Linked DNA regions of Elephas maximus indicus. The protein of the gene in region 3 interacts with the protein of the main gene of each other region in a biochemical or structural test. Links are inferred from orthologs where the notes say so. Each region holds a gene or a part of one and is shown on either strand. Other genes may lie near its edges.

The links. The genes of interacting proteins can lie anywhere in the genome.
Region 1: of the proteins of caspase-8-like (region 3) and BCAP31, one has a biochemical effect on the other in vitro, tested with the Homo sapiens proteins (2 studies listed by BioGRID, with this or other methods). The link is inferred for Elephas maximus indicus from reciprocal best matches to the Homo sapiens genes CASP8 and BCAP31.
Region 2: the proteins of caspase-8-like (region 3) and DEDD form a complex in vitro, tested with the Homo sapiens proteins (2 studies listed by BioGRID). The link is inferred for Elephas maximus indicus from reciprocal best matches to the Homo sapiens genes CASP8 and DEDD.

What each region holds. Positions count from the first base shown.
Region 1 is NC_064846.1:2,631,925-2,639,870, reverse strand, and holds the start of BCAP31 (B-cell receptor-associated protein 31), read right to left. Parts: upstream 3,006-7,946; 5' UTR 2,930-3,005; intron 2,871-2,929; exon of another isoform or gene 2,716-2,870; intron 2,405-2,715; exon of another isoform or gene 1,926-2,404; intron 1,559-1,925; 5' UTR 1,519-1,558; coding exon 1,427-1,518; intron 4-1,426; coding exon 1-3. Other genes in the region: ABCD1 (ATP-binding cassette sub-family D member 1), read left to right, coding at 3,694-4,599, 7,302-7,482. UniProt on the Homo sapiens protein: Functions as a chaperone protein. Is one of the most abundant endoplasmic reticulum (ER) proteins.
Region 2 is NC_064821.1:199,942,054-199,949,165, forward strand, and holds the start of DEDD (death effector domain-containing protein), read right to left. Parts: upstream 3,006-7,112; 5' UTR 2,911-3,005; intron 2,827-2,910; exon of another isoform or gene 2,751-2,826; intron 980-2,750; 5' UTR 947-979; intron 1-946. UniProt on the Homo sapiens protein: A scaffold protein that directs CASP3 to certain substrates and facilitates their ordered degradation during apoptosis. May also play a role in mediating CASP3 cleavage of KRT18. Regulates degradation of intermediate filaments during apoptosis.
Region 3 is NC_064824.1:100,030,274-100,038,075, reverse strand, and holds the start of caspase-8-like, read right to left. Parts: upstream 3,018-7,802; 5' UTR 3,000-3,017; intron 1-2,999. UniProt on the Homo sapiens protein: Thiol protease that plays a key role in programmed cell death by acting as a molecular switch for apoptosis, necroptosis and pyroptosis, and is required to prevent tissue damage during embryonic development and adulthood.

The sequences.
Region 1 (7,946 bases), on a different chromosome or scaffold from region 3:
CATCTGTGAAAAAGACAAAATGGACTGGGGTTGAAGAGAAAGACACACTGGACCCTGGGCCCTGAACAGAGCAGAAATCTGGCTGTGCATTCTTCCCTAACAGCCAAAAATCAGTCAGCCTCAGCTGCTGTTGTCCAGTTTATGACATCCGGTCAGAAGGATTAACAAAATATAAAGATGCTTGTCCATGTGTAGAAATTACTCAAAAACCACATTCTTAAAAAATGGTAATCTCTGAGGTAGGAAACTTAATTTTCCCACCTTCCCTTTTGTGGTATTCAAAATTCCCACCACGCACACGTATCATTTCTTTAAACTGATCTTGACTGATGTTGTTTCGTCTGTACTCTAAATTATGAAACAAATCCCAGGTGACCTATCATTTTCATCCACAGATGTTTCAGTACAGACCTCTAAAACACAAGACCCTTTAAAAATATTTAATATAATCACAACACTGTTACCAGACATAAAGAAAATTAGCAGTAATTTCTCAATACCAAAGCCAGAGTTCAAATTTCTAATTTGGGCAGTCTTTTAAAGAGTTGGTTTGACTCAGAACCCGACAAAGTTCCAGTCCTACATGTAGATGGTATCTTAAATCTCTATTCTAGAAGTTTCCCTTTCCCTCTGCCATTTATTCTTCGAAGAAACCAGGTCATTCGTCTTATAAAGTTTCCCAGATCCAGCTCCAAGGGGTTTTTCTGTCTGCTGCATTTCCTCTGAACTCTACGAGGGATGAACAGTTTAGGTTTGGTCTTTGGTGGAGCCGTATACTTCCTATTTTATCAGGTCGGGAGTCTGTGCCTTGCAATGTAACGTTTTTTTTTTTAAGAACCTGGAGAGACTTAGTCTTATTTGTAACTTCTTAATTTTAGTAAGGATGTGTTTCTGTACCACGTGTAATTAAAAATTCATTCCAAATCAACTCTTAACAGGTCCTCCGTCCATTAAAACAGAACATGGCTTCACCCTTCACAGGCTGAGTAATCCTCATGAGGCAATGCTAGTGAGACTAATTAGGAGGACAGAAGTCACCAACTCAGCAGCAATGTGATCCAGTGGTACAACTCTTCAGGATCCCACACTGCCATCCCCAGCACCCCAGGGACCTAAGGGTAGAAAGGAGGGCATGATTCCCAGAACCATAACTAGAGATAGACGGTCTTCTTCGGGGCACTCTGAAGACCAGAAGGCAGGACGCACAGGAAAGGAACTCAGCCAAATGTGACAAAGCAGAACAGCAACACGGTAGAAGGTTGGCAGTACTAAGCATAACCTCTGCCACCCCAACCCCAGACAATTTCTACCTGTTCCTGCCCGGTCCCAATTCCAGGGCCCACCAATTCTGTACACATAAGCTACCAGCCTCGGCAACAGACCGCCAGTCACCCTCCTGCTCGCTTGCTTGCTCCACAGGCCATACCTTTTCGGAGAAATGAAGGGAATGCAGAGAAGCAACACAGCAAAGACCTCTGCATAGAGGAAGGTGGCAACTGCGACCCACTGCAGACTCATCCTCTGCAGCTAGATGGTTTCCAATGAAGTAAGCACTTTCCTGACAGGGCAGAGAAGGAACAAGAGAAGCATGAGAGTTGGGTAGCCAGTGACAGCCAGTTCAAGGTCCCTGAGAGACTGGGACAGCCATTCTTTAACCTGTACCCTAGCGCCCTACTTCGGAGTCTTTGAAGCACTGGCTGGGACACAGCTCAGCTCAGCAGGGCGACTTGGCCAATACTGTTCCAGAGCCTAACAAACTTCCACTGGCTGGAATAAAGTCACTGCTGCCCTCTAGTATGTGTTCTAACATGTCCAGTGCCACCTTTCTTGATGACTGTTCGCCAAATGGGCCCCTTTCTCTGGGGAGTCCAAGAGACTCCTTATGCATGTTCGACTGCAAAAGCACTTTCAATAAAAAGCATTACACAAAACAGCAGAGCTGCTCAGACGGCCGTCGGGCACGCTCCTTTCCCAGCCAAGAGGAGCTCTGCTGCAGCTCCGGCACTGCAGTGTTCCAGGAACAGCACTTCCTCTCAAAGCTGCGTGGCGGCCCCCACCCCCGGGGGCAGTCTGGAGGCCCTATCCCCCAGCCCTCCCAAGAGGGCCTAGAGAAAAGCAGCAGCCCTCCCTGTGGGGCTGCACCAGCGGCCACTGAGAAGGCCAGGGCGAAAACAGCCTTGCAACTGCCGCTGCGGCCTCCGAGCGGGCCTGGATGACTCGCGGTGCCTCAGAAAAGCCCACAAGAGCGACTCCTAGAGGGCAGAAGCCAGGGCCAAGGGAAAACTCAGGTCTCCACTAAGCACCTCAGGGCCCCATGCAGAGAAAGTTCGAGAAGGATCACTCTTCTAGAAAGCCAGAGGTGCCCTCCCTGGCAAACTACGGTAGCTCTGCTCTTGCCCACCGCAAGCTCAGAAACCTTTCCACTTGGGCCGCGCTACCCCAGGGGCTCCGCCATGGCCCGGGCCGCAAGCTCTCTCCGCCGACTCGGCGCCTCAACCCACTCGCGGCTCCACTTCCCACCGTGACGGCTCCTCACGAGGGCTCGCCGCCGCCCGCCCGCGCCCTGAGCCGGGCTCCGCCCGCGGACGCCGCCCCGCCGCCCCGCCGCCCCGCCGCCCCGCCGCCCCGACTCCCTTAGCCTGGCCCGCAGGCTCTACGCCCTGGCTCGCGACGCGCCCCGCAGCCCCGGCCCCCGGGCCTCTCTCCGCTAGCTACCAGCCCCGCTGCACCCGTCGAGGTGCCTGAGGACCTCAGCGCACACACCAGCGCGCAGGCCGCTGGCCGAATTTCACCTCAGCCACGACGCACGCGCTGCCGCCGCAGCCGCCGCCGAACCCTCCCTCCACAGCCGCAAGTCCCGCCCCTTCCCCCGCGGCCGGAAGCCGGAAGTGGCCCCGCCGGCCACGCCCTTCCCAGCCCGCCCACCAACCGTGGCGAGGCCCGGGCGGCTCCCCCCACGGCCACTGCCCACCACCCCCCCAGCTGAGGGCAGGGCGCCGAGGCCCGGGCGGGGCGGGCAGCCGGCGGCCCCGAGGCAACGCGGTTTCGCGGCGCGCGCGGAGCGGGGCGGGGCCTTGGCGGGAAGGCGAAGGCCGCTCCTCCAGTCCGCGTGGCCCTCCAGGTCTCTGTGGCGGGGAGGAGGCGGGGAGGAGGCGGGGCCTTCCCGTGGGGCGAGAACGGGGTGCGGAGCCCTGCGCCCGGGCTCCGCCTCCCGCTCCTCCTCCGCCTCCTCCCCTTCCCTGACTCGCCCCTGGGGAGGGGTGGGTGGGTGGGGATTATGGGCCAGTGGCGGAGTCACTGTCGCTTCAGCCAGGCTGTGGAGCGGACGTACGCGCCTGGTACCCCGGGCGGGGGCTCCACTTGGGTAGGAGGAGGTGGAGGGGAAGAGAAGTCCTCCCTGCCCTCAACCTTTCAAAGCTCTGACACCAAGGGCTAGGAGACTGACACAGAGGGGAGCTAAGGTCTTCCTGCTCAGCTGCCTGAAGAGGCCAAGACACTGGAGGGCCCTGAGCCCACCGCACCAGGGGCCCCAGCAGCGCCTCAGTTGCCTAAAGCAACAATTTCAGTGACCAGTGCAAGGCCTCCAGTTGCCTAGACAACGAGCCCGGGGTCAGAGCAAGGACCCTTCCAGCCACCTGCCTGGACTGCAGTCTCAGGCACTAGTCCCAGCCCAGCGGGTGCCAACCAGGTGACATGCCGGTGCTCTCCACCCCCCGGCCTTCGAGGGTGACCACGCTGAAGCGCACAGCCGTGGTCCTGGCCCTCACCGCCTATGGAGCCCACAAAATCTACCCCCTGGTGCGGCAGTGCCTGGGTCCAGCAAGGGGCCCTCCAGGGCCAGCAGGGGAGCCCGCGCAGGAGGCCTCCGGGGCAGCAGCCACAGCAGCCAAGGCCAGCGTGAACCGGGTGTTCCTGCAACGACTCCTGTGGCTCCTGCGCCTGCTCTTTCCCCGGGTCCTGTGCCGGGAGACCGGGCTCCTGGCGCTGCACTCGGCTGCCCTGGTGAGCCGGACTTTCCTGTCGGTCTATGTGGCCCGCCTGGATGGACGTTTGGCCCGCTGCATCGTCCGCAAGGACCCACGGGCCTTCGGCTGGCAGCTCCTCCAGTGGCTCCTCATCGCCCTACCTGCCACTTTCATCAACAGTGCCATCCGCTACCTGGAGGGCCAGCTGGCCCTGTCCTTCCGCAGCCGTCTGGTGGCCCACGCCTACAGCCTCTATTTCTCCCAGCAGACCTACTACCGAGTCAGCAACATGGACGGGCGCCTTCGCAACCCTGACCAGTCCCTGACAGAGGACTTGGTAGCCTTTGCTGCCTCTGTGGCTCACCTCTACTCCAACCTGACCAAGCCGCTCCTGGACGTGGCTGTGACCTCCTACACCCTGCTTCGGGCAGCCCGCTCCCGCGGAGCTGGCACAGCCTGGCCCTCGGCCATTGCTGGCCTCGTGGTATTCCTCACCGCCAACGTGCTGCGGGCCTTCTCACCCAAGTTCGGGGAGCTAGTGGCAGAGGAGGCGCGGAGGAAGGGGGAGCTGCGCTACATGCACTCTCGTGTGGTGGCCAACTCGGAGGAGATCGCTTTCTACGGGGGCCACGAGGTGGGGCAGGTTGGGGCGCTGGGAGGCATGAGGAAGGCCTGGGGTGGGGGCACAGCGTGGATGCAAGAGGGGGCTGAGAACAGACAGGGCCCTGGGCTGCAGAAATGGAGAAGCAGGAAGACTGGTGGGGGTTGCCTGGTCCCAGCCGCCTGCACACTCCAGGCCACTTCTGCTTCCTCCCTCCTGGGCAGCACCGCTGGCCTTGGGCTGTGGATCCTAGCGGTTCGGATTCAGAGCTCCCACCTTGCGCACTCCAGCAGACCACTGGGAGCGGGACGAGTGGATGCACGGCCTCCTGGCCAGCCCTTCGGCCCTTTGAAGGCCGGCCTAGGGCCCGCGTCTGGCAGCTGGGCATTATGGGCATGACTCAGCCCACGCGGAGATTAACAAGCAGCGCCCAGCGTGGCAGTCGCAGCGCTTAGGGTCACAGCCGCCCCCAAGGGCCCACTGGCCCGGCCGTCGCTGCAGCGGGACGCACTTCCTGCCAGCCTGCCCCAGCGTGACCGCCCTTCCGCCCGGCCCCCAGGCACAGCTTCCTGGGCGGCCAGCCTGAGGGGGGGCGCAGCAAGGTTACTCCCGGCCAGCACTCCCTTTATCTCGCCTCGCCCCTCCCCTTCCTCGTGCCTGGGGTTGCAGCTGCCTCAGGCCCTGCTCCCTGCGACTCTGGTTTCGGTTCTCCTGGGGGGAGGGGCACGATGGCCTCTGCTCCCTGAAGGCCTGCATGTGTTCCCAGGACCCCGACCTTGTCTTGGTGGCTTTGCACTGGGCACAGGAGCAGACTTCTCCTGGACCAAAACGGCCTGTCGTCAACCTTCTCCGCAGGGAGGGGCGTCCTGGGCCAGGAGCTGGCTGCTGATCAGGGGAACAAGTGCCCAACACTGGGCTGTGATCCCCTCTGCCCGATCCTCCTCTCCTGCATGCAGGCTGGCAGCGCCTTGGCAGGCAGCTGTGGCCTTGGGTGAGGTGCTTGGCACATTCCCCGTGGCTACATTATCAGCTCTGGCTGGCACACTTGCCAGCTCACAGTGCAAGTCCAGATTGCCAGGGTGCTCGGAAGATGCGGGCTCGATGCGGGCTCGTTTCAGGAACGGGAGACTTGGCCCGAGGCCCTGGGTGGGGGTAGGCAGGAGAGACATTTGAAGGACTTCCCCTTGGCCAGCTTCAATACATAGAGGCCACCCAGGAGGTCTGCTTGCCTGGGTGGATGAGGAGCTGGGTGGGGGAGGGAGAGGAGGGGGTGACGGGCCACAGGGTGGGCTGAATGCGCTGGCTGTGCAGACATATGTCGCACCCCAACCTCACTGGCTGATGTCCCCACGGACACTGGCCCAGGCTCAGATCTCCAGGTAGGGCAAAAGCGACTGGCTGGCTAGTGGAGGGCTCTATAGCAGAGCATTCTGTTTTTATTGGAATTCCCATGGAGGGGTCATTTCCACACACACACACCCTCTTATTTACTTGGGAACAATTAAAAGAATCTTATTCTCCTAAGGACTCTGGCAACCAAGAACCAAACCCATTGCCAACTCATAGTGACCGAGGAGCACCTGGTCAATTCAAACTGCCGACCTTTTGGTTCATGTAGCTCTTAACTACTATGCCACCAGGGTTTTCAAGGGCTTTGGCAGCGTGATTCAAATTCCAGCAGTGCTTGCTACCTCCATGCTGTGTGACCTTGGGCAGGGCACTTTGCCTCTCTGGGCTTCATTGGCCTACTGTACAATGAGCACATTCGATGAGGCGGTGCGAGAATCAAATGGAGAGCCTAGTGCGAAAGCACTTGGCAAAAGGAGCCAGTCTGGGCAGTCGGTTGGGTGTGGAAAGGCCAGGCTGGGCGTCCAGAGGGTCCCTGTACTGAGCCAAGAAGTCCACAACCCAATGGCCCCCTTTGCCGTCACCACTTCTGGAGACCTCCATGTCTCCACAGTCTGTTGGTCTGCTGCTGCCACAAGGAACCCTCTTCCTCTCTCCACCCTCTCTCTTTTTTGGGCCCTGCAGGACCCATCCACCAAGGCCCCTCCCCCCCACCCTGTCCCCACCCTGATATGGCAGGTGGTAGCCAATGGAGGAATGGGAGGGGAGGCTCCACACCACTGTGGAGCCAGCGGGCTGGAGCCGGAAGCTGGCCTGAGGCAGAGGGCTGTGGGCTTGGGGCAGTCCAACATGGAGCAAGGCCAGAGGGACTGGCTGTGAAGCGCGCCCTCGTGGTTTCTGTGGGAAAATGCAGTATAAGTTCTCACTACAAGGAACTTTGGAAAAGTAGACTGGCAGGGCAGTGCCTAGGGAGGGAGAGACTGGGCTCAGTGTTCTCAAAACCAAGGTGCTACCAGTGCCACTGCTTTCGGTCTCCGTGCCTGGGAACCAGGGCCAGGAGGAGGGTGTTGGGACGGAGGCCCCCAAATGATTGCCCAGAGTATGGGCTCCACAGAGGCTAGAAGCTGCCCAGAGCAAAGAAGGGAGCGTTGAGCGCCCCAGCCCCAGTCAGGGTGAGTTCCTTTGTCACTGCTGCTGTGCCCCAGTGCTAGAAACTTGGGCAAGCCCCTGCCGCTGGTTTCAGACCCGTCCTCTGTAAACACAGCCCTGTTGTAAGCCTTGTCAGACCATTGAGTGGTGTGGCCTGTGTGAGCAGTGCTCTGGGTCCTCTGGGTTGTCGCCCAGCCCGGCCATTCTCACCAGGCCGCTGGCTCTCTGGTGGCCCGCAGGTAGAGCTGGCCCTGCTGCGGCACTCCTACCAGGACCTGGCCTCACAGATCAACCTCATCCTGCTGGAGCGCCTGTGGTACGTCATGCTGGAGCAGTTCCTCATGAAGTATGTATGGAGCGCCTCAGGCCTGCTCATGGTGGCTGTACCCATCATTACCGCCACTGGCTACTCGGAGTCAGGTGAGAGCCAGACCCTGGGCCACGGGCTAGTCCTCCAGTCAGCTCCTCAGTGTCCTTCCCCCTGCGTGTGCCTCGCCTTCATAGCGCTGCTCATAGCCATGCCCAGGGACTGCACTTCAGGGTGTCCCTTCACCACCCACGTGCACCCTCGTTCACATGTCCCTGCCCTTGAACCTGCTGCCACTTGAACGCGGGGAGACAGAGAGTAGAGCAGCATCCACTAGTGTGCCTTTGATTCTCCATCCGTAGGTTGCAAAGGGAAGTGATTTGGCCAGAAGGCCTTGCGGGAGGGGGAAGCCTGACCTGCCTCTTGTCTTAGCCGTTCAGGTTTCTTTATTTTCATTTTGTCTCTCTACTGATCTGAAAGGTATACGTTCTCCTTTTAGTCTTTAGCAGTTACTGTTCAAACGTCACCACGCATCATTGAAAAGAGGCTTAGGTTAATCGATAGCTCCCCTCCTCCT
Region 2 (7,112 bases), on a different chromosome or scaffold from region 3:
GTGTCTGAAACACTGCCAGGTACCAAGAGACTAACACTCCAATAAACAGAGTCCTGATCCTGCAGGCTCATCTGGTTCCATTTGAGATCCTAACATGTGGGTCCCTCTCTAGAGTTTTCCAAGAAAAATTATTGACTCTGATGAACTGCTTTATTTCCTGAGAGTTATAGTTTTTGTTTTTTTTCTTTAGGGAGGTCCAAGTCAGCCAAGGGCCACCTGACAGTCTATATGTATCTACAGAATTTCCTCTTGATTGGCTGTTCTCTAAAGGTTCCACTTGCAAGCAAAGCCTAGTCTCACCCCAACCAGGGATGATATTTGTATGTTTATGGGAGAACTAATAGGTATTTGGCTCTCTCAGAAGCCTTCAGAGCAAATTCATATGGAAGAACTAAAAAAGGGTGATTTTTAAAAACAACATAGAAAATCTTATAGATGGTTAAGAATAAAGAGCTTTCTTGCTGGTGGGACTAGGAAAACGTAACCAAATATCTGAGAGTCAGAATTCCATATTATGTTTTCAAAAGAAAGATTCCAGGAACTCTTAACAACTAGAACAAAGAGTAAACTAAAGGCAAAACTTTCCCATGGAAGGTGCCCCAGCAACACTCCAAAGGCAACAGTTAGCAGACATTGTACTGGCGTACAATGTTCCATATGTTAAAAATGTTTCTCCCAGAGCTGACCAAGATTAAGATAATAACAAACCAAAGCTGGAGGTTTGCCCCAAGACACCTCATTTCCCCTCTCCTTTCCACCTATCTCCAGTTACCTAAGAAGACAGTAACTGTAACAGATCTTCTCTGTGCTTTATGCACTCAGCTGGGTAGGTGAAAATTCATTTTGCCTGGAGCCTACCCCATTCCTGGGCTCAACCCCACTGCATTTCTCATGCCATTTCCTTTCCCTTCCATTGTCTGAAAACAATAAAAAGTTCCAGACTTACCTCTGCAAGAAACTTAATTTCCCAGGCCTCTTCCTAGCACAAGGTTCAAATCCAGCAGCAAAAAAATAAATAAATAAAATAAGGGAGGGGGAAAAAGTCAATTTTCAAGCTTTGCTTTGAAACCTCAAAGCCCCAAAAAGTTAGTCAATCTCAGCTGCAAAAATACAGACAAGCCTAAAGCCATTTCTACTGAAATGATCTACTTTAAGCTAAATGAGAGAACTCACATCAAAAAAAAAAAAAAAAAAAAAACACACCAGGCTTCCCTAACTCTCTACTAACCTTCATAAAACAATACCAGCTTCAAGAATTTCCATTCTTAATGGCATGTGGCAAGAAAGGTCCCAAATTCAACAACTTCTGGAAAAACCAATTACTTTCTGAACCCTTCTCACCTTCCCCCGGATTCCTTATAATATCCATCTATCTTGTTACAATGTTAATGTTTACTTTCATCTTCCTCAGAGAGAACTAGGAGGAAGGTGGCTACAGCCAAAGAAGTCACTTTCTTCCCATCAGGCCAAGAATTATCTTCCAAATTTGCCCCTCCCCTTACGTACCACACAGAAACCCTGGTGGCGTAGTGGTTAAATGCTACAGCTGCTAACCAAAAGGTCGGCAGTTTGAATCCGCCAGGCGCTCCTTGGAAACTCTATGGGGCAGTTCCACTCCGTCCCATAGGGTCGCTACGAGTCGGAATCGACTCGACGGCAGTGAGTTTGGTTTTGGTTTTTACGTACCACACAGGGAGAACAAAATATCCACTGGGCGGCATCCACTGATACATCCACATTTCACCAGAAAACTTTATATGTGCACACTGACCCCTCCCTCCTAGCACTTTAACAGTAAAAGAAGGGTCTGGAAACTAAATCACTCATTGAATTAGCCTGGATGCCATCCTGCCTCTTCTGTTCCCCTCTTCAGCCTTAAAGAGCCTCCAACAGAGTCATAGCTGTTTCCCCATTCTTACTTACTAACTGCTAAAACTAGAAAAGTCCTTTACTTCTTCCATACTGTCGACACCAGCTTCCCCATTCCCCCCCCCCCTTTTCTTCGTAACCAGGAAAAACAAGGGAGCAATAAACTAGGGAGCCTCTGGTAAGCAAATCCAATTGAACCCTCATCCAAGCCCAATTTTCCAAACTCACATGACCATTTCCTTCTGCCTTCCCACCCTATTAAAAGCTAAAGGCCTGGCAATTAGAATTGGCTACAAGTGATGCTGCTTAACTCCGTCCTTTCTTTTCCACAGGGGAAAGGGAAACCCCTGAACCTCTGTCACCCGTAGAGCTCCACTGTCCTGTCTCCCATCCCATTCCTCTTCCTTCCAAACTTTCCTCCCAGTCCCTCACTTTCTCCATTACCTCGTCACACCGACACTCTGCATTCCCCAAACCTCTGTTCTCTTCCTTTCTACCCAAATTCTGCCCTAAACCCTTCCCCTCCCCCCAATTTAACACTTTCAAAACCTTCCCCCAAACGTCTGAGGTCCCATTCTCACCTTTTCCACCTCTACACAACACCCCCCCACACACACGAGTCCTGTCCACCTTCCAACCACATGCCACAAGCCCCCTTCCCCTTCTCACCCTCAGCCTCTCCCCTCCGCTCCTACCCCCCTCAATCCATCCGGATCGCAGCCCCACTCCCCACCTCGGCCTCTCTTATACCCCTAGCCCGGCCCAGCCTCGGCCCTTGTTTACGCCCCTCTTCACGTCCCCACTCCTCCACTTCGACCCCTGCCCTCTCCCACAGTTGCCATCTCCCCCGCACGCCCCCCTCGGCTGCTCCCCTCCCCCACCTCGCAGCGTCCCGTCACCTCCTCCTCTTGAGGTTCTCAGGCTGGACGTCGCCACCGCCTCCCCCTCCACTTTCCTTCCCCAAGCCCTTTGCGGCCCCGCCCGGCCCCGCCCCGTCCCGCTCGACTCCCCCTCCCCACTCCGGCCGCCCCGTCGCCTCACTCTCGGCTCAGGCTCGGCGCCGCCATGTTGGATTCATCCGCGCCGCTCTCCCGGGCCTGGCTCACGGCGCCGCATCCGGGCTCCAGCCGCCGCCGCCGCCGCCGCGGGCGTGGGGGAGGGGAGAGACGGGCGGGGGTGGCTGCATCCTGAACAGCGCCGCCCGGAACCTGGCCGGTTAGTGGCGGCTTCGAGACCATAGTGAGAAATGAGCCGGGGTAGCCATACTAGGTGAGGGCAGCCTGGCAGCGGCATTAAACGGGGAGTGGAGAGCTTCACTTTGGGAGGAGAGAATAGAGAATGGCAGCCATCTTGCTTTGGGGCAAGCTGGCAACGCAGGCTTTTCTTGACGGCTTCAGGGCCGTAGCAAGGAATGGGAAGAGGGTACCATTCTTAAGTGTGGAAAGATTGGTGGCGCCAGAGCAGGCTGCTGTTGACTTCAGGACTCATTGAGAGACTGGGACTGGCAGCCGTGACTCAAAAGGATGGAATAGCTCGGGGGTCGGGTTGACCCGCGATCTTTCGGGGGAGGTTCAAGATCTGGATTTGACCTTTGTGTTGAACTTCCTGGTAACCCGGACATTCCGTAAACCTGGGCCCGGTGTTGAAAGGGCTGCTCGTATCCGGTCTCAGATTTCATTCTTTCAGCGTTTGTCTTTTGAGCTCTCTGTTTCCAAAGGAGGTGTCGCCTGAGCTGAATCCTGAAGGACTATTGGGAATTGGGAGGCTGGGTACGTTCTGGAGCTGCCAGCAGCCTGGTATGGCTAAAAGAAAGGTAATAAATGAAACCTGTTAGATAGGCAGGGGCAGATCACGCAAGGATTTGTAAATTAATTGACTTCTTTCTAAGGGCAATGAAGAGTCTGAAGGAACTCCGCAAAAATGTGAACAATTATGTTTGCATTTTAGAAACATAGTTGGTTGTCTTGTTTGGGGTGATGTTAGGAGCAAGGAGAACAATTGGGAAGTTCCTATCCAGGCGGGAGATGACAGTGGTCTGACCTAGAGAAGGCGTAGTGCGAATGGGGAGAAATAGATTGGATTTGGGGAGTATGAGGCAGAGGGAGGAGCTCAAGATGATTCCCAGTGTTCTGGATTGAAAAACTGAGAATAATGCCATTTTTTGTTTGTTTGTTTTGGGGAAAAGAGTCACTTTTTGCACATGTGGAGTTTGAGGTGCCTGTGGGACATCCAAAAGAGATATCCATTAGACAGTTGAATCTTAGATAACGTGGGTTTAGGACCCAAAAGAGATTTGGGGTGTTTCTGTGTGTGTGTGGATGACAGTTGAAGCCATGGGAGTAGATAAGACGGTCTAGAAGGAGGAATACCTGCATTTGATATATGAGTTAGAGAAAGACGCTGAAAAGAGGGCACTGAGAAGGGGCAAATAGAAAGGAAAACCAGGAGGGAAGTATCAAGGAAGCTGGTTAAAATGTAACAGATCAGGTAAGATATGGGCTAAAATGTGTCCATTGGAGTTTGCAACGTTTGGTAATTTTGGAGAAAGTTGTTTCAGAGATATGGTAGGGTGGAAAGGAGGTTGAGGTTACTTGAGTGGCTGGAAAGGCATAATATATGAAGACAATTTTTTTAAGCTGCTGACTGTAAGGAGGCTAGCGATAGGATTGTAGAGTGAGGAGGAATTCCAAGAGAGGGAAGGCATTTTAGGTGCCTGTGGGACACCCAGGTGGAGATGTCCAAAAGAGGCAGTTGAATATACAGATTTAAAACTTATGAGAAAAAAATATTAAATGTAAAGAAAAGCAATTGCTGTAAAGTAAATGTGGCATGTTTACATACACATTGAAAAATTACAAAGTGGGCCTTAGGCGGCATGAAACTATACTTTTTCTTTATTTTAGGTCCATCTGTACTGTCCTGAAATTTGTTTTATTGTGTCGATGTATTTCTTTTATAGAAAAGTATTTTTTAAAAACTCCAGTGATGTCTAGGCCAAAATTCTGAATCATCAATATTTCTGTGGTAACTGAAGCCATAGATTTGGACAGGCTCTACAGAGAAGAGCAGAGGGTTAAGAAGAGTGCTTTCGGGGATTGTAACATTTAAGGCACTTGGAGGACCTTTGAAATGCAACAGCCAATGAGGAAGAACAAAAACTGGGAGATAATTATAGAGTCAGAAGTAAGATTGTGTTACAAGAAGGTAGAAGTTGTCAAAAGTGTCAGATATTCCTAGAAAGGCAGGTAACAAGAAAGGAACTTTTACGTCTGGACTTAGGTTTACTGAACATCAGGGAAGCTCAGCACAAAGGTCAAATCCAGATCGTGGACTTTTCTCCAAGTGTCACAAGACAATCCAGCTACTGTGCTATTCCACCCTTTTGTGTCATGGCTGCCAGTCCCAGTCTCCCACTGAATCCTGAAGTGAGCAGCAGCCTGCTCTGGCACCACCAGTCTTTCCACACTGAAGAATGCTACCCTCTTCCCATTCCTTACTATAGCCACCGAGAAAAACCTGCATTGCCAGAAATTGTGAAGTTAAGGAATTGAAAGTAGGAGTATGAGTTGAAGCTGAGGAGGTCAAGAACTAGGTGTCGCATAGATTCTTCTAAAACAACCCTGGATGACAGAAGAGTTGGCACAAAGAGAGGCTGTTTAATAGGTGCAGTCCTCAGTAAGTATGAGAGCTAAAGAGCCAGATGGCATAAGATTCAAAGGATGAAGAGTTTTTGCAAAAGGATGTGAATGAATAATTTCTTTTGTAAGGATCAGCACAAAGCTGGCTCCTATGTGAAGCGGAGGTTAAAGATGTCCCAAATGTCCAACTTTTCCAAACTGCTGTACCACTCCATCATCTGTAACGTTGACTATACTCCTCCTCTTGGTACAGTCCCTCCTGTCTTTGAGTTCCACAATTCACTGCAATGTCTCACAGAACTCATGAACCATCAAGGAAATGGTCCACACGGTTGTAGAGGCTGGCAGTTCCCAAATCTGTGGATAAGCTATCAGGCTGTTGGCTTCTCCTGACTCACATGGCTGCAGGGGCCTATGAACCCAAATCAGCAGGTCAGACAATAAGCTGCTTGCTCACAAGACCTGGCAAATCAGGTCAGATGATAGGCTGCTGGCTCAAGTCCAAGAACCAGAGGTCAGATGATGACAAGCCAGATGCAGGATCCAGAGCAAGAGAGAAAGTTTAGCCATTCATATATATATTGGATCCAGACCATACCCTCAAGGAAACTCCCCTTAGCATGGTGGTACAAGGGTGTGACTTGAGTCACACCCTCTAGTAAGGCAGTGACTCAAGATACATCCCACCCTAATACTGCCTCATTAACATAATGGGCAGCTGACTCCCAAATGGGACCATAGCCACAGGCATAGAGGCTAGGATTTATAACATATTACGAAATGGAGGATAATTACATCAGATCACAGATTACATCAGAAGAGGGTAGCTACTTCAGACCACAAAATGGAGGATAACTACATCATTACGTAACTGCCAAATTATATCATTACACAACTGCTGAACCACTAAAAATCATGGCCCAGCCAAGTTCACACATAACCTTAACCATCACAGGTTCCATATACTTTATTTACTTAAGCAGTAACTGTCCAGTCACCTTGGTGGGCCAGGTAAAAATGGCGTGGAGGGGGTGCAGCATCTGACCTCTAAATTACAAAGGGAAGGAGAATCAAAGTCAAAGCTGATACCTATGAGACAAAGGCCAGACATGTCTCCTCTCTCCACCATCTTTACTAATTCTAATACCAACTGCCCTTCCCATGGCACTCTCTACTTCTCTGCTGGGTTTGATAATTCATTGCAATAGTTGCACAGAACTCACAGACAATACTCATGATTATGGAGTTTATAAGGGAAGTAACAGGTTACAATTCAGGTTCAGGGATGCCCAGGATATAGTTTTTCCATCAGGATAGCCTCTTCCCAGCCGTGCCCACAGGCATGCTTCTCTGTGGTCCCTCAGCCTCTGCCCTGCTTGGGCAAGTGTTACAAAGCTCTTTTAGCTTTGCCAATAAGTGCTCAAAGGCAACCAACTCCACCAATGAGCCTTGGCTGGAAGGCACTCAGCTTTAGTTCCATGCGTCAGCAAACCTAACTCTACCAAGTGCCCAGAGGCACCCTACTTCAGCAAGCCTCCTGCCCAAAGGCACTCAGCTTTCTTGCTCCGTGAGCAGGGAAGCCCACTGCACCATCTGTTGCCGGTC
Region 3 (7,802 bases):
ACTGAACTGCTGGGCTGAGAGCTGTGGGGACCATGGTCTTGGGGAACATCTAGCTCAGTTGGCATAACATAGTTTATAAAGAAGATGTTCTACACTCTACTTTGGTGAGTAGCATCTGGGGTCTTAAAAGCCTATGAGTGCCCATCTAAGATACTCCACTGGTCTTACCCCTTCAGGAGCAATGGAGAATGAAGAAAACTAAGGACACAAGGGAAAGATTAGTCCAAATGACTAATGGACCACAACTACCACAGCCTCCACCAGACTGAATCCAGTACAACTAGATGTACCTGGCTACCACCACTGACTACCCTGACAGGGATCAAAATAGAGGGTCCCAGACAGAGCTGGAGAATAATGTGGAACAAAATCCTAACTCACAAAAAAAACACCAGACTTACTGGCCTGACAGAGACTGGAGAAACCCCAAGAGTATGGCCCCCAGACATCCTTTGAAACTCAATAATGAAATCACTCCTGAGGTTCACCCCTCATCCAAAGATTAGGCAGGCCTACAAAACAAAATGAGACTAAAAGGGCACAACAGCCCAGGGACAAGGATGAGAAGGCTGAGGACTAGAGGGGACAGGAAAACTGGTAATAGGGAACCCAAGGTCAAGAAGGGAGAGTGCTGACACGTCGTGGGGTTGTTAACCAATGGCATAAAACACTATGTGTACTAAATGCTTAATGAGAAGCTAGTTTGTTCTGTAAACCTTCATCTAAAGTATAATAGATAAATAACAACAACAACAAAACTATATGGGATCAAATTGGCAAAAACAACTGGAAAGATTAGATAGGAAACTTAGGAGGCAGCGAGTTTATATTAACGGAGGAGGAATAATTCAGAAAAGAAGGATGACAATGGTTGCACAACTTGAGAAATAGAATCAAAGTCATGGAATTGTACATGTAGAAATTGTTGAACTGTTGTAGGTTCTGCTGTGTATATTCTCAACAACTACGAAAATAAATAATTAAAAATTTAAAAAGCTAAAACTATCATTGTACTTACCTACGGATTTGTAAAAAGCTACTATAGGTTAACTTTTACTTGTACTTCACCTCCAGAAAGTGTTCCCTAACTTCCCTATCCTGGTTAGCTCCTTCGACATCCTGGGATGCCCCTATTCCAACACCTGTTCTGCTGTTTTGTGATCCGTCTGGCTTTGGCCTAGCCTATGAGCTTCATGTGGGCAGAGATTGTGTCTTTCATGTCTGTTTCCCAATACATGCTAAATATTTTTAAAAAGCGGGAGGAAGGTGGCACAAATATCTAGACCATTCAATGTTCTGCCGAAAACCAGTAACAACAACAAAACAAAATCAAAAGTAAAAAAACTCTTGGCAAAAGACATAAAAATATAACCAAATCATCAGAAGGGAAAACTCATATTGCTAAAAGTATACAAAGAAATGCTCAAACTAATAAGCAGCAGAAAAATGCAAATTAAGACAAAAATAAGACTTTCCTTTAACTTTTCACATTGGGAAGTGTAGAAAAATGGAAAGTAATGGGACTGTAGGGAAAAGAGCAGTCCGATGTACTCTGTAGAGCTTACGCTGGTATAGCCCTTCTGGAAAGCAAGATGACAGGGCTTGTCAACTCAAGTTGGCACATAAATTTTGACACAGGTTTCCACTCCTGGGTATATCTCCAAGGTAAATTCTTACATGAGTCCGCAGGGCACAGATGTCTGAGGATGTTCACCGCATTGTTATTTATGGTAACAAGGAGATGAAGGCATCCAGGTGTCCTTTCCTGGGAATAAATGGACATACTCTCTGGCTACAAAGCAATTAAATTAGAAATTAACAACGAAAAATGATCAAATCAAAACACTACAAAAAGAACTATCTACATTTAGGTGGCTTTTTCAACCCATGGTGTTAGAATGACTTCTGGAAAAAAACTGAAATAGATCCTGACTATCTGTTTCAAAATAAATTGCAGCTGAATCAAAGACTTAAACCATAAAATTAAAGCACTGACGAAAAAATGGGGAGAATTTTTAAAAATAATTTTTCAGTTGTGAAAATATTTCTAAGTATAACACAAAATCTGGAAGCCATTAAAGAAAAGATTGATAAATTTTCATAAATAATTACTAAAATATTTGGTTAAAAACTGCCCTAAACAAACTAAAGGAATAAATACCCTGCACACTGGGGGAAAAAGGCAATATATATGAGAGAAAGGGGGCTGATTTTCTTAAAATAGAGATCCTATAGGGTATAAGTTAATTAAAAAAAAAAAAAGCTGTGAGGAGGCTTTTATTTTATCGGTCCTGGGTTTTTAGAGTCACTGCATGAGCTCATGGGCTAGAAACTTTGTCAGGTTAATATTTTCAAAAGAACATTTACAGTTGTATTTTTCTAATCATAAAAAATAGTAAAGTTAACAGTCCTTAGAGAAAGCACAAGGAAGTTTGAAGAAGAAAATAAAAACTACTTACAAACTTACCCTTCATAAGTAATTCCTTTGATCACATTTTAAGGGTTTTCTTTCCCATCTTATTAACATATAATTTTATGTGTACATATATTCATATATAAACATACACAAACTTAAATATTTTGCCATATAATGCATATATATTATATATCTGTTAAGTGATAAATCTGTATAAATATATTTATATTATAAAATATATGTTTTAGAATACTTATATTTCATATATTTATATCCAAAAGTATTTATATATAAATATATATTTACATGATACGTAAACATTTATAACATATATCCATATAATTATATCATCATATAAACATAAAAATATTTTTTTCTTGTATCATTTTACTGCAAGTCTATGAAGAAATTGTTAGTATCACCTCCATTTTACAACTGATTCCCTACAGATAACTCCCATGATTTCCTCGTACCCACTCAAACGGATCACCTCCATGGCCCCAAGACCACCAGATTCCACCCTCGGCAGCCTAGAAAACTCTAGAATCAAAGGCCTTCCTCCCAAAAAGCCCAGCGATCTTACCAAAGAGGCAAATCCTGGGGCCCTCACTGTGGCAGAGGCTTCTTCAGGACTCTCTTCAGTAGGCCGTGTGTTGAAAACAAGAGTAAAACTCAAACTGAAGACCTGAAGGAAGGCACAGCCCAGCTACATTTCCTGGTTGATGAAACCTCCTGAGTCACAGAGACTACACCAGGAGGGCTGGCCCCTGAGCAGGCTTCTAGACCTGCAAGAGAGGCTGAGTGTGTAGTGGAGAGAGCACTGGGCAGGGAGCCTCGTTGTCTGAGCTGTGGCTCTAGCTCTGTGCTTTTGGATGGGTCATTTTGCCTTTGGGCCCTCATTTCCACATCCCAAAATGAGAGAGTTGGGCTGGGTGGTAACTAAGAACACTTTCTTTCCATGTTCAAGGAATTTACAGATTTTTATGTCTTCATCATGAAAACTTTATTCTTTCAATAAATATTTATTGAGCACCTTTGATCTGGGCCCTGGGGCTCTGACCCTGGTGAACAAAACACAGAAACCCTCTGCCCTCATGTCACAACTCAGATGAAATGTTTTCTTTGATGTTAAAATTAGAAAGAGGAAAAAAAAAAACTCACTTTTTGAAACCGCCTGTTGTCTTTCTCAAAACAGAATGTAAGCTTTCAGAGGGCAGGGACACATCTTATAGTTGCAAGGATAAAATGAGGTGTCTAAAAGTGCCTCTTCACCTGTAGAGGGCTAGATATAGAAAAAAAAAAAAAAAGATATAGACAACATCGTAATATCGATGTCCTCAGCTAGCACTTGATTTTTTCCAGTAAACTCTAAGTGAAAACATAGCAATACCATGAAAACCTGCTAGTTAGTGGCTAACTCCAAACCCCAGGAATTATATCCTGATTTTTCCTGATGCTGCCCCAGCATCCTGAGCAGCCTCCATCTAGGACAGAGACATGAAACAGCTTCTCTCTCAGAGCCATCAGAAGGAATCAACACAGTTGATACCCTGATTTGGACTTTTAGCCTCCAAAACTGTGAGACAATAGATTTCTGTTCTTATAAGTCACCCAGTTTGTGGTACTTTGTTACAGCAGCCCTAGGAAACTAACACAGAGTTTAATACCAGGAAGTGGGGTGGTGTTGCTACAAATACTAAAATGTGGAAATGGCTTTGAAATTAGGTAATATGTAGAAGCCGGAAGAGCCTTGAAGTACTTAATAGCAAAAGACTAGATTGCCTTGAAGAGACTGTTGGTAGAATTAGGAACATTAAAGGTGATCCCGGTGAGAGCTCAGAAAAAATTGGGGAGAGCTGTAGAGACATCCTCTATCATCTCCTTGCTGTTGTTGTTAGTTGCCATCAAGTTGATTCCAACTCATAGTGATACCATGTGTGCAGAGTAGAACTGCTCTGTAGGGTTTTCAAGGCTGTGACCTTTCGGAAACAGATCACCGGGCCTGTTTTCTGAGGCGTCGCTGGGTGGCTTTTAACTGCCAACTTTTCAGCTAGTAGTCAAAAACTTAAGCATTTGCATCACCCAGGGACTCCCCCTATCATCTTAGTGAATACAAATATCATCATGAACAGAATGTTACTAGAAATGTGGATATTAAATGTGTTTCTGATGAGGGCTTAAAAGGAAATGATGAACATGTTATTGGATGCTGGAGGAAAGGCAATCCTTATTCTAAAGTGGCAAACTACTTGACTGAATTATATTCAAATGTTTTGTGGAAAGCAGAGCTCAGAAGTGATGAGCTTGGATATTTAGCTGAGAAGATTCCTAAGCAAAATTTTGACAGCATGGCCTGGTTTCTTCTTCCTGTTTATAGTAAAATGAAAGTGAAAGAGATAAATCAAGGATTGAACTATACAAAAAGGAACAAAAACTTGAAGAGCTGGAAAATTCTCAGCCTGTCCATATTGTAAAAATTGAGAGAATGTGCTCTGGAGAGAAGAAGAGTATGGCTGGACAACTGTTTGCTAAAGACATTAGGAATGTCACTTAATATTAGGATCCAGGGAGGTGGCCCAAGATGGCAGAATACTCAAGAAGCTTCCTGTGGTCTCTCTTACAATAAAGGCTTGGAAAAAGCAAGTGAATTGATTATATATGACAATCTAGGAGCCCTGATCATCAAAGACAAAGTTGAGGAATCAAACTGAGCGGCAGGGGGGAGAGAGAGAGACCGTTCAGAAGTAGCAAAGTGGCAGTAGTGAGGTAGCTGGCACCCTACAGGCCTGTTGGCCAGAGCACTTGAGCTGAGGCTAGCAGCACTCTGGACGCATTTCCCCATGTCGGGAGAGACCAGGCAGTGACAGTCAGTACAAGCCTCCAGAGCCAGAGGGAAATGACGCTGGACCTGCAAAAGTGCAGCATCAACCTACCCAGAGGGATCAAAATAACCTCTTCCCCTCCAGGATTTTCACAGCAGAGAACTGCTATTTTCCTCTCACCCAGCCCCCTCTCCGCTCTGCTCAGTCACCAGTCTAGCAGTATTTAACAAATGCCATGCCGCCTAAGCTGGAACTAAGGCCTCCCAAAGCCCAAATCAGTCTTCCAGCTTTAGGAAAAAAAAAAAATTATATATATATATTAGGATTCAATCAGCCTTCTTAATAGAAATGTCACCGGCTTAGACTGAAGGGGCTAAAGACAGGATGAAAAGAAGTAAAACTGTCCAACTCCTGGAATGCTACAGGCAGGAAATGGGCTGATGGTGCTGCTTGGCTGCAAACATTTGTTGCCCTTCAAGAAAAGGAAAAGATGATCCCCAGAGCAATTCAGAGGCCAGCAGGGCTGCCAGCACAGGTTTGGAGGGCTGGGCTGCCACCTTCCTGGTTACAGAGGGCAGAGCCGCCTGTTCAGTTCCAGGGAGATGGGCATCAGAGCAGAAAGACTTTTGCCTCATTACTGCTCCAATTCAGAACCAAAGCCACTGAATGAATGGCGGGTGAAAGACCAAGAATGAAGCAGGCAGTCATGAAAGAGTTATCAAGGGTTATTAACCATCCCGTAGTAGTTATTTTTCAGAAAAATCTACTGTTGCTACATTTTTGTTACAACTTTTACAGCACTTCACCATGATTGGTCTGATCCCCAGGTTTCTTGTCTTCTCCTGGCAGGAGGCCTAGGCACAGGTGCACTGACTCTGAATCTACCCACTATTTGACCTTCCTGGGTGACAGCAGTGAGCCATCGCCATTTTTTTAGGGCCGTGTGCAGTATTTTTAGAGCCCTGCACAAAAACCCATTCACTAAAATTATGCGTACTGTGAATGCATCGAAAGACTGAAGATCCTCCCCTCACTGTTCATGTACGTATGTTACTCCCTATAAAAGGAGCAAATCTGCCCTGGTTCAGGGAGCTGGCAGCCTTAGGTCACGAGACCCTGCTTGTCTCCCAGTTTGCAAACTGTGACTAAACCTTTCTATTCTTCCAACCCTGTGTCTGGCTGACTTCAATTCACTAGTTGGCCTGACAAGAACCTATTAGATGACGGCTTCAAGAAGAGGAAACAATCCCTTTCAACTGGAAGCCCTCTAATTATGAGTCATCCCTAGCTGCAGGTGACATGAAAGTTTTATATCTGGACTAGATTTTTAATAACTGAATATGAGCCACAACTATCTAAATAATATCTTTCTTACAACCAAAAGAGAGTCTAAAGCTATAGGATCTACCCTATGTCTAACCAGGGCCATCACTGAAGACTTGTACCATCACTGAAGATAGGGATGGGAGAAAAATGAAAGCCCTTCCTGTTTGTGGCTGGGTGAGTTCAGCCCAATCAATAAGTACTAGCTGTTTTTTTAATTTTTGTTTTGCACCTCTTAGTCCACCACCTTGGTCTACTGGAATCCTGCCCCACACCATTCCAATCTCCACCCACATTCCCAGGCTCTGAGCTGCACTCCAATCTCATGGTCTTCAGACCTCTCCTCAAGTCTTTATCTCTAATTCTTACTTCCCCTCCAGATAAACTAACTTTCCTTCTTGTCCCTCTGACATATCCCTCAAGTATAAGTGTCATTTACAGATTCTCTAACGCACATGGTCTCCTCTAATGTCTCCTTTGATTTGTTTTCTCCAATTCATTCCCTTTATCCACGTGATCTCATTTGGTCAGTGGAACCCCTACAAAATTATGGTTTGGAGTTGTTTTTCTCAGGCAAGTGGGAGTCTCCCTGCAGGAGGGCTGTGTTCAAACAGGAGATGCCTTGACCCTGGTTCTCCTCACAGACCGCAGCTTCCACCTGGAGCTCCCCTGTGGGGTCTGCCTGGTTGGTGCCCCTCCTTTCTCTCTAATACCTCAGTACCTTCACAAAGCCTTCCCTACCAAATAGAGGCAGTCACAGAAAAAAACTGGGAGGACGTACCTAACAGCAAAATGCTAACAGTGATAATCTTTAGATGGTTGGTTTATAGTCAATTTTTTTTTAATTATCTATATGTTAATATTTAACATCCTGCATTTATGTTCTAATGTATCCCAGATAGCTTGAAATCTAAATGTATTTGTGATCTGCAATCTAAATATATTTGTTTGCTAAACATATCTGTAATTGACATTTTCTTATCTATATTTTCTAATTTTTTTCAGTTACCATATATTCTTTTTGTAATAAAAAGTTTTAATTTAAAAGCATTTTATGTAAATATAGATTTTCATCACCCAGTTTCTGGTATCCTCTCTAAAGCCTATAGGCAGGTGGTCTTCATATTTTATTTAGGTTCATGAGCCCCCCCTAGATTTTTTGTTTGTTCACGGCATGATGGTTAATTTTGAAATCATGAAATTTTGAGGATATTCTTAATATACAGCACCCAAACCAGCAT